Linked DNA regions of Daphnia pulex. The protein of the gene in region 1 purifies or fractionates together with the protein of each later gene. This does not show direct contact. Links are inferred from orthologs where the notes say so. Each region holds a gene or a part of one and is shown on either strand. Other genes may lie near its edges.

Region 1 (4,386 bases):
GGCGTGAAACAAGATCATCTCTTAAACTGAGTTCTTTTTACATCGGAATCCCTATCTCCTCTCGAATATGTTCACCAAGGAAGCTGGTTATAATATCTAACATTTTCTCCAACATTTTCATGTGGCGTTCTGTTTCGTACTTCCACGTCCCAAAACATCATTTTGAAAAAACGATAAAAAAAACAAGCAATGAATACACATCCCATCTTTCCATGTTTCAATCAAAGTTTATTTTTTATAACAACTTGTTGCAATTTTAAAATTTTCGATCATTGTATTTTTATCACAGTAAAAAAAAAGTTTATTGTAGTAAACGACGAATTTTAGCGCAGGTTATCAATGAACCAAGGTTCGTCACCCTCACCATATTTCGTCAACGGTAAATCGTATGGAAGACAGAGTTGTTTCCCGAGTTCGAAAGTCATTTCACCAAACTAAACGAAAACAAAATGATATTTCAATTACTAGAAATCCAGAGAAGCCTGAAAAACTAATGTTACAACTTACAAGGAATTTGGGTAAGAACAGGACGCCAGCTTCAAACGATTGAATCATCAATTTCGAATCCTTGTTGGTCCTCATCCCCCAAGCGGCCTACGAAAATGGAATTTATGAACAAGCTTACTCAAGCTGAAAATTTGAAATAAATGAATAGTACCTTTGAAACGTTCGCACTGGTAAGTACGAAAAAAGAAGCTCTGCTCATATCACTGCTGACACGAGCATAAGATTTAATGTGAGGCATTGCCTGTAAGGAGGATGGTTACATAATCTTTTAATATTGTTTGCAGCATTTAACCAAAGATTGAGCTTACCGTTGTTCGGAGTCTGCTGTCACTACGCCATTTACTTCACGAGGAACACAATTTCAAGTAGGTGAAAAGAAAACTGTCAATCTCTTGTTAACAGATAAATGCAACTGGTATAATCTCTTACTGGAGAAATCCTGTGAACCATGTTTGTTTGTTGTGGCCTTGATGTGAGTATGGTAAACAGCCTCCACCAAGTAACCCATGAATACTGGATTTGACATCTTGGAAGCACGGGTAAACCTGTTTGAGAAAATGTTATGAAACAAAAACTAATCAACTGACATTTGCAACTGAGGATACGTACCACTTGGACATTTTTCTGGCCGAGTTTGGTGACACCGGAAGCAGCAGCCATGGATACACCTAACTCGCCTGCAAGCCAGCTGCTGGGTGATGGACCGAGCGAACCAATCGAAGAACATTGCATGATAATGGAATCATTTGCCTCAGACGAAGCATGCTGTTGCAATAGCCAAGACAAGTAAAGATGTCCCCATTTCGGCACTTTTTCATTGGCTTCTGATTGAATGGCATGAGATCCCGGCGAAGATGGGATAAAACAAACTCTGTGCACAAAACATTTTGCGTCTGGCTGAAAAGTTTGAAAACAAGGTACCTTATAACTCAATAATTTACTTAATACTAGACATGTCAGCCTGGCGAATTTTTTCTATCCAAGGCTTCAAAGCGGAAAGTGAATAGGATTCTAAATAACGAACAAGATCCCTTTTGAAACCAGTTATAGAATCACCATCTCCGATCTTCTCGTTGTCTTTTGATGACAAAGGTGGACAAGACGGACTAATCCAAAGGCCTGCACAAATTTATTGTTAAAAAAAAAACGATAGTTTGCCAATAGGGATTGTAGTGGTACGCACCTTGTGTACGGTCTTCCCAATCAGATTCAATAAGGTTACCCGTATGAACAACGATTCGCAAATTTCCGTCTTCGTAGGACATCATGGACATTTTCCTTCAGGTAGTTCCAGAAATGATAATGAAAACACAATGTAAATATGAAAAAGTCTAACAACTAAAAAATTTAATGCTTACGTGTGGTGGCTACCAAATGGATATTTAGGTTTGACTCTGATCGTGTGAAGCGTTGGCACTCGACTTTGAGCGGCAGCTAGCTCTTCGGATTCAGTTCCGTAAATCACAAGCATTGGCTTCCTTCTGTTTAATACAAACAAAATTATCGAAACTCATGAAAAATATGCAGTAATAAGTATATATGTAATTACTGGACTTTATGCTGACAATACTGAGCAAGTAGCCAACCAAGCTCCACCATGAAGTTAAATTGTACTGATTCTTGCAACACACCAAGTGAAGGATGGAGCAAATCACTAAATGTTAAGGTAAGAGACTGGTCCCAAGTTTCAGGTACATTTTCTATAGAGCTAAGGAAATAGCAAACAGGAGCAGAAGCTTCAATCTTTTGTAAAGGGTTAAGTTTTTCATTGACAACCATTTTGGTTGAGGAACCAACATCATCTGTCATCTTAGCATGGGAAGGAATATTTTCATCAATAGCTGTTGCTTCTGGAACAGAGAAAATTTCATGATTCATTTAATTTTATGATTATTGCAGAATTGAACTAAACTGATTCTTTTTTCTTTCTGTTCGCTGCTATTTTCTTCTATCTCTGCCTCATTGTCACTTTGTGCCATTGCAGAGGCATTACGCTTCACTCCAGTTTTTTCACCAGAGATTTCCATCTTCCTTCTGTCATCAAGAATTAATTCCCCACTTTCCATGAGCTCAGCAACAAGTTGTGCTTGCTCCAGAAGGTTTGATTTTAATTCTTGAGACATTACAGCTTCGATTTCTCCATTGTTTATTTGTAATGCTATTTTTTCAACTTCCAATTTGAATTATATTATTACATTATTTCGTATAAAACTATTGTTAAAAAATATTTGCTTACTAATTGGGTGAGAAAACTCAAGGAAATGATGTTTATTTCGCCGAAAACACGTTGACCCGTATTTACAATCTTTCATATCCATTACGATAGTTGCTCCTTCGCAAAAAATGATGAAAGGCTAGTAATTTTGTTGTATATTCAATTGATTAAGAACTTTAAAAGTGCGATCTATATCTCTTAAAAACCAAATAATTCTGATTTCTGACTGATTCTCATAAACAAACGTTCAAAACAGTTTCTGGATCGCTTTGTACAAACTCAAAGGCCGCCTAATTTACTTGGCCGCTAGACGGCCAAACCTCCCCCCCCCCAAAAAAAAAATATAATAATTACAATTAGGGAAGCTGAGTTAATAAAAATTTTATTATCATTACTTAAATGTTTTTACCATTAAGCTATTCTCTCAGGAATTACAGTCTTACATTTTTTTTTACTTTTTTGATTTCTCAAGATTAATTCTAATCGAAGTACGAGGGCCTTCAATAACCTAGAACTAGGGCGGAGAAGAAGGCCATCATTTGTTGGTGTAGTTCTTAAGTGTGTGTTCTTAAGTCTCGAAAGAATAAAGATTTCAAAGTGGATAATTTGTGTCAACGAATGTCATGTTCTTTAATGGTTGCGTGAGGCATCTTCTTCTCTTATGATTTTTTGCAGCGCTGATTTTCTGTCTAGTAGCCACTAGCCATCAAACTTTATTTCCCATTTGAGTTAACATCTCAGGATTTCTGCTAGAGCTGTAAGGTCTGATAGCTGATTCATCAGATAAATTAAGACACTGGTACTACAACAAAGTGCTCCTTTAAAATCCATTTACTCCACTTCATAGAAAAATATGTTGTAAAATCTATTATAAAATACTGATGTCATATTGTTTTTAGGTGTTGCCTAGATTTTCAAACAGCGGTTTTATCTAAAACTTCAAAAATGTTTTGGCGTTTTAATAATATGTGTACCACCAACATCGACAATCTTCTAAATGATGAAGTAAGTGGTGATATTATTTTAAACTTTCTTAAATTCAATTTTAATGGAAATCAAATCTCTTAGGATATCACATTACAGAGATTAATGGATGAAGATGATATAATTCAAGAATGTAAAAGTAGTAACAGGAAGCTCATTAATTTGTAAGTATAGTATGACAAGTATAAAAGTGTGGTTTAATCTTATGCACTTTTTATTTATTTGTAGTTTGGTGAAGCCTGAAGTGTTGCATGAACTCATCAGTTTGGTGACAAAGGAACCATCAACTCAGGCTGCTGATGTTGTGCGTTTCAAATATAATAACATAGCTGCTGAACTGCTTTCCTGTGACATTTCTGTCATCAATGATGCTATTGTAATGGATGAGGTTCTCTTGACAGAGTTGTGCCAATTCATTGGTAATGAACCTCCACTCAATCCTCTCATGGCATCATTTTTTAGTAAAACAATGGCAGTTCTGGTTGGAAGGAAAGCAGATAAGGTACATTAGTATTGAAATGCCATCAGTTTCATTTATTAACAAGTTTTTGTTTTTCAGATGCTGGAGTACCTGAAAAAAAAAGAAGGATTTCTTTCTCAGCTTTTGAAACATTTAAGAACTTCTGCCATAATGGATTTGGTATTGAAGTTGGTGACCTGTGTTGAAAATAAAAATTCCA
Region 2 (4,479 bases), on another chromosome or scaffold:
ATTAGCATAAACGAAGACATCGTTCTGTTTTAAAATACCTTTATTATTCATTTCGTTTGTTGCACCAAGAATTCATCGAGAGCAACTAATTTGTTATTTTTTCTGCATGTCCGTATCCAATCACTTTTGACAATTTTCATGTCTTGGTTTTTCGACAGCGCCTTAAAAATAATGAATAATCCAAGACCCGACTTTAGTAATCTTTTATGAACAGAATAAATAAACTGCATTTACCTTGGCGACTGAATCATCGTCAGGATCGTCGGATATAAAGTGAGAAACCTTTGATTTAATTTTCGGCACTAATTTACTGTTTGAGAAAAATACGTTATTTGTCAAAAAGGAACATAAGAAATTTAATTAATGGTAGTACCCTTGACATTCTTTTATATAGAGCGTTAGGTCCTCTTTCACTTCTTCGGACAAATCTTTGCCCAGATAAAAGTTCAAATTAGCGTAAATGTTTGAATCTTCCAAAGTCTGCTGTTGTTCTTTAATTTTCTTCTTGATCCTATTTCAAACAATTATGTGCGTTAGCCATTATAAATTCGAAAAGAGTGTGTGAGATGAGCCTACATATCGATTTCATCTTCCGTGTCGACTTCGTCAACTTCAGTCGACCCGCCGTAGTCTTCTTCTTCTTCGTCCTTGACGACACTAGTTTTAGGACTCGCCACCACAGTGGTAGGCTTACAACTGGCTGCTACAGTTGGCGATTGGGGTACTACAGTTGCTGCTTTACTGGTTTGGGGTGTAGGGGTCGGACATGTCGGCCCCTGGTCCTCTCCTTCCCAAATTTCTTCTTCGCTTTCTTCTCCTCTGTCATTTTTATCTAAACAATAACTATTTAAAAAGACAAATTATTACAATCCAAGCGATAGAAAAATAAACCACATTGGTAATGATTTTTACCGTCTCCATGGTAATCTTTTTCGTTTGTCGAAACAATCTTGAACCCAATTTTTGGTAACTATTTTGCCTTTACCCTTAACTTCAATGAACTTTGGTGTGTTGTAAAAGGCACATCTATAATCAAATGAATAAAGAATAATAAGCGCATGACTCTACGTCAAAAATTTGTTTTGTAAAATATACATCAAATGCGTACAAGACGCGTTCCATTCCGGTTTATAGGTGGCACCTAAGGCCAGCAGTTTATCTCGCAGTTGACCCCGTAAAGGATTTTGAAAACCACTAAGGACCACCACGACGCCTTCCAATAGGCGATTAAAAGGTTTGGTCGTCCGTTGCTTTTTCGCTAAGCGCTGCGTCTATAGATCGGCATTCAAAAGATGTGATAGTACGACTCATAATTTGAAAGGTTGAATTATAAATGTTTATACGTCAACTGATGGAGAAGGTGGTGGTGTTTTCCTTTTAACTGGTCCTTCAACTCTCTTCGATTCATGAAGGGGGGAATGTCTTGGTTTGCTTTCTTGCATTTTTTTACTCAACGATTTTTTAGCTGGTGGAGTGATGGGCGGCGCAACTGGTCTCGGCCGATCAGATTCCACTTGCTTGCGACTAGGTAATGGCGAATGTTGATCGACTTTGGCAGCAGTAGGTGTTTTAGATACTGTGGGACTTCGAGTCTGCAACGTTTTAAGCTTATCTGTCAATTTGATATCTGGTCTGCTGCCGTCCTTGTTAGGGGAGTGTCTCAAAATGGTCAAGGCCTCTTTCTCACTCTGTGCTAGGGCAGCAGAGGCAAGACTTTGAGATGCAGCACGGATTGCACCAGGCTCTATTTAAATAAAAAAAATCATTATCATGGTATGAAAACAAATTAGACAGCAATAATTACGAGTGCTGGGCGAGGTGCTGATCGACGACTTGAACCGAGAGAACAAACTGCCTTGTTTGATGGGGTCAACAATTGATTCTTCGGACCTAAGTTTAAACATGCCAAGATCTATGCTGTTTGCTGCTTTCACGCTAGCACTAAGGTGATTAAGATTCATTTAATAGGATACATTATTGGTATGACATGTGGCAATATTTGTGGCTTACTTATTGTTGGTTTTATTAGCTGACTCTTCTTCTGGAGCATGAACTGTAAGGAAGGAAATTCCATACTGAAGCTGTTTGTTGAACGGTTGAGTGCAAACAACCCGAACGCGATCCCATTTTTCAGCTTGGGTGGCCTTGTTCAAATCTTGGTGTTTGAAAATCCGTACACGCTGGAGATTTGTTTCGTTTCGACACTCTTGAGGTGTCATAAAAGAGGCTGAATTCAAAAGAACCTAATACATGTGTACAACTTTTACATTAAATAATACAATTATTTTAAAGTGTAATGTCTACCTTGTAGTCTTCATCGGAACAACCACTTCTACCAACTAAAATTTCAATGAATGCAGAACCATGGTTTCCTATGTCAACAGCTGAAATGAAGGATGTTTTCTCTAACTGAAATTCAACCCACGCTTTCTGCTCTCCAGCAGATTTGCACCTCCATTTCCTGTACACTCCATCTTTAATGAGGTTTTCTGTTGGCTGATTCTGTAAAAAAAAAATCTTTATCATTTTCCATAGTGCACAGAGTTGTGCAAATTGTAAGAATCGTTGTGACTATTTTATCTTCTTCTAGTGAAAGTCTTCATCGTTGAAATTAAATAGATTTCTATACTGCCAGTCACAACTATGGAATACTAAGTTCACCAAAATAGCAGTAGAAGTGTCAAGAGTAATTTGTGAAAATCACCCTGGTTCGATAAACCAAACGTCAAAACAACTATCACTTGCGACTTTATACAATGAAAATCACAATTTTGTTAACATACCGGATCTTCGCTACTGAAACTCACAACACGAGTAAATTTTATGGGCGCCATAGACAAAACAACGACGCTGAACAAATGTTAAGAAAATCAAAACTGGAATACAAATTTCAACGACTTTTTAACTTGGCACGTGTATCGTCGGAAGTTGATTTGTCCAATGTTTGCAGCTGCACTATACGTTTTATTCTCTGGCGGCTTTGGGGCTAGAAGACGGCCTGAATAATTTGGAAGATTTCTTATTCTGAGTCGTCGCACCCTGAGCGATTCAGATTTTATTAGAATAATAATTTATTCCCCCATTTTAAAAGTTGTGATCATTCAATTTTCCCTACATTTTATTTTTATTATATATGGAAAGTCGGCTGCTCCTGGGTCCTGTTTAAAAAACCCGCCAACAGAGCGCGTTGGCTTGCAAACGGACATTGTAAAATGCATTCAGCGCGCGTATTCAATATGCATTGAACACAACACCAGATTCAGAATCCAAACAAAAATCGCTGGGTTTTTTTTCTACGCTGGTCTTTTTTAAAAAGGTTAACAGCGTCCTATAGTGGATAATGGCCTATTTTAGGTTATCCTTTTATTTATTATTACTGATGCCTGATGACAAGTCGAAAATAAACCGACAATAACTCATCGACATCAGCAGAGATCAATCTTTTACGACAACAGAAATGAATAAAAATAAGTCTGCAAATAAAATCTACACATTAAACGTTTAAGTCAATTTCAATTCCAACTGGAAATATATACGTTCTGGCGGTTCAATGTTTAAACTACCAAATTGATTAATGTCCACTAAATTTATTATTTTCTTTTCTCTTAACCATTCATGATGCTGGAGAGAAGGGGGAGGGATGTCATCGATTTTAGCTCATTTAATTTCTATTACGGCTTAGCTGGCGCATTAATTTATCAACGTGGTACTCCGACAACGAAGTTTATATTACAAGGACAACGTCAACAGCCAGAGTGCAAAGCATTTTGTGCAAGTGATATTTTTAATTTGTTTTTTTTTCTAATTCGACCGTTTCTCGCTCCTTGGATACCGAAAGAAAAGCCGAGGAGAAGAAAACCATATTACGTCTCGCCTTTATTAATAGGTGATTCCCCAGAAAAAACAAAAAAAATAAAACAGCCACAGCATCGCCCAGTATCAACTGGAACATTTTCCGGCGTTAGTAGTATTGACACCTCCACGCTCTTTTCCTCCCTTCTTTATATTGTATTTACAAGGCCCACGCAGCAGCAAGCAACCCAGCTCTTTCCAAGGATGAACATGGCTACATTATATATATAGTATAGGCTTTTAATTTCTCCTATATATGTCTTATTTCGCTATACAGCCAAAGAATCGAGGTTGCGCACAGAGAATATTAAGGAATGTATTTTTTAGATTTCCCTTCCGAAAAAACTTTTCTTTTAACTCTCCTCGATCCTGCTGACTACATGTATAAATACACAGGCTATATTATATAAACTGCACTCACTGCAGGCATATACACACACATTTCATGTACAATATATATGTATTAGGCTTCCGGCAGCTTTGTATACCTATGTACGAGCCACTTCAATTTCTTATAGTCTCTTTCTATTTCATTCTCCATTCTATTTTGTTTCCTCTTGTATTATTCCTAAGATTCCCCCCCCCCAAAATACAACAAAGACACAATCAGCAGCACCTACCGTCTAT

The links.
Region 2: the proteins of probable tyrosyl-DNA phosphodiesterase (region 1) and DNA repair protein XRCC1-like purify together in Homo sapiens (affinity purification with mass spectrometry; 4 studies listed by BioGRID and IntAct, with this or other methods). This does not show direct contact. The link is inferred for Daphnia pulex from reciprocal best matches to the Homo sapiens genes TDP1 and XRCC1.

What each region holds. Positions count from the first base shown.
Region 1 is NC_060019.1:12,903,938-12,908,323, forward strand, and holds probable tyrosyl-DNA phosphodiesterase, read right to left. Parts: upstream 2,994-4,386; 5' UTR 2,826-2,993; coding exon 2,744-2,825; intron 2,678-2,743; coding exon 2,420-2,677; intron 2,358-2,419; coding exon 2,057-2,357; intron 2,018-2,056; exon of another isoform or gene 1,989-2,017; coding exon 1,866-1,988; intron 1,792-1,865; exon of another isoform or gene 1,786-1,791; coding exon 1,691-1,785; exon of another isoform or gene 1,627-1,690; coding exon 1,449-1,626; intron 1,425-1,448; exon of another isoform or gene 1,379-1,424; coding exon 1,117-1,378; exon of another isoform or gene 1,053-1,116; coding exon 937-1,052; intron 873-936; exon of another isoform or gene 850-872; coding exon 816-849; exon of another isoform or gene 749-815; coding exon 659-748; intron 595-658; coding exon 508-594; intron 435-507; coding exon 324-434; 3' UTR 255-323; downstream 1-254. Other genes in the region: serine/threonine-protein phosphatase 6 regulatory subunit 3-like, read left to right, coding at 3,668-3,727, 3,791-3,870, 3,935-4,208, 4,266-4,386. UniProt on the Homo sapiens protein: DNA repair enzyme that can remove a variety of covalent adducts from DNA through hydrolysis of a 3'-phosphodiester bond, giving rise to DNA with a free 3' phosphate.
Region 2 is NC_060028.1:2,114,855-2,119,333, reverse strand, and holds DNA repair protein XRCC1-like, read right to left. Parts: upstream 2,955-4,479; 5' UTR 2,835-2,954; coding exon 2,784-2,834; intron 2,503-2,783; coding exon 2,305-2,502; intron 2,244-2,304; coding exon 2,011-2,243; intron 1,942-2,010; coding exon 1,805-1,941; intron 1,745-1,804; coding exon 1,344-1,744; intron 1,272-1,343; coding exon 1,096-1,271; intron 1,027-1,095; coding exon 913-1,026; intron 844-912; coding exon 577-843; intron 512-576; coding exon 374-511; intron 311-373; coding exon 235-310; exon of another isoform or gene 162-234; coding exon 48-161; 3' UTR 23-47; downstream 1-22. UniProt on the Homo sapiens protein: Scaffold protein involved in DNA single-strand break repair by mediating the assembly of DNA break repair protein complexes. Negatively regulates ADP-ribosyltransferase activity of PARP1 during base-excision repair in order to prevent excessive PARP1 activity.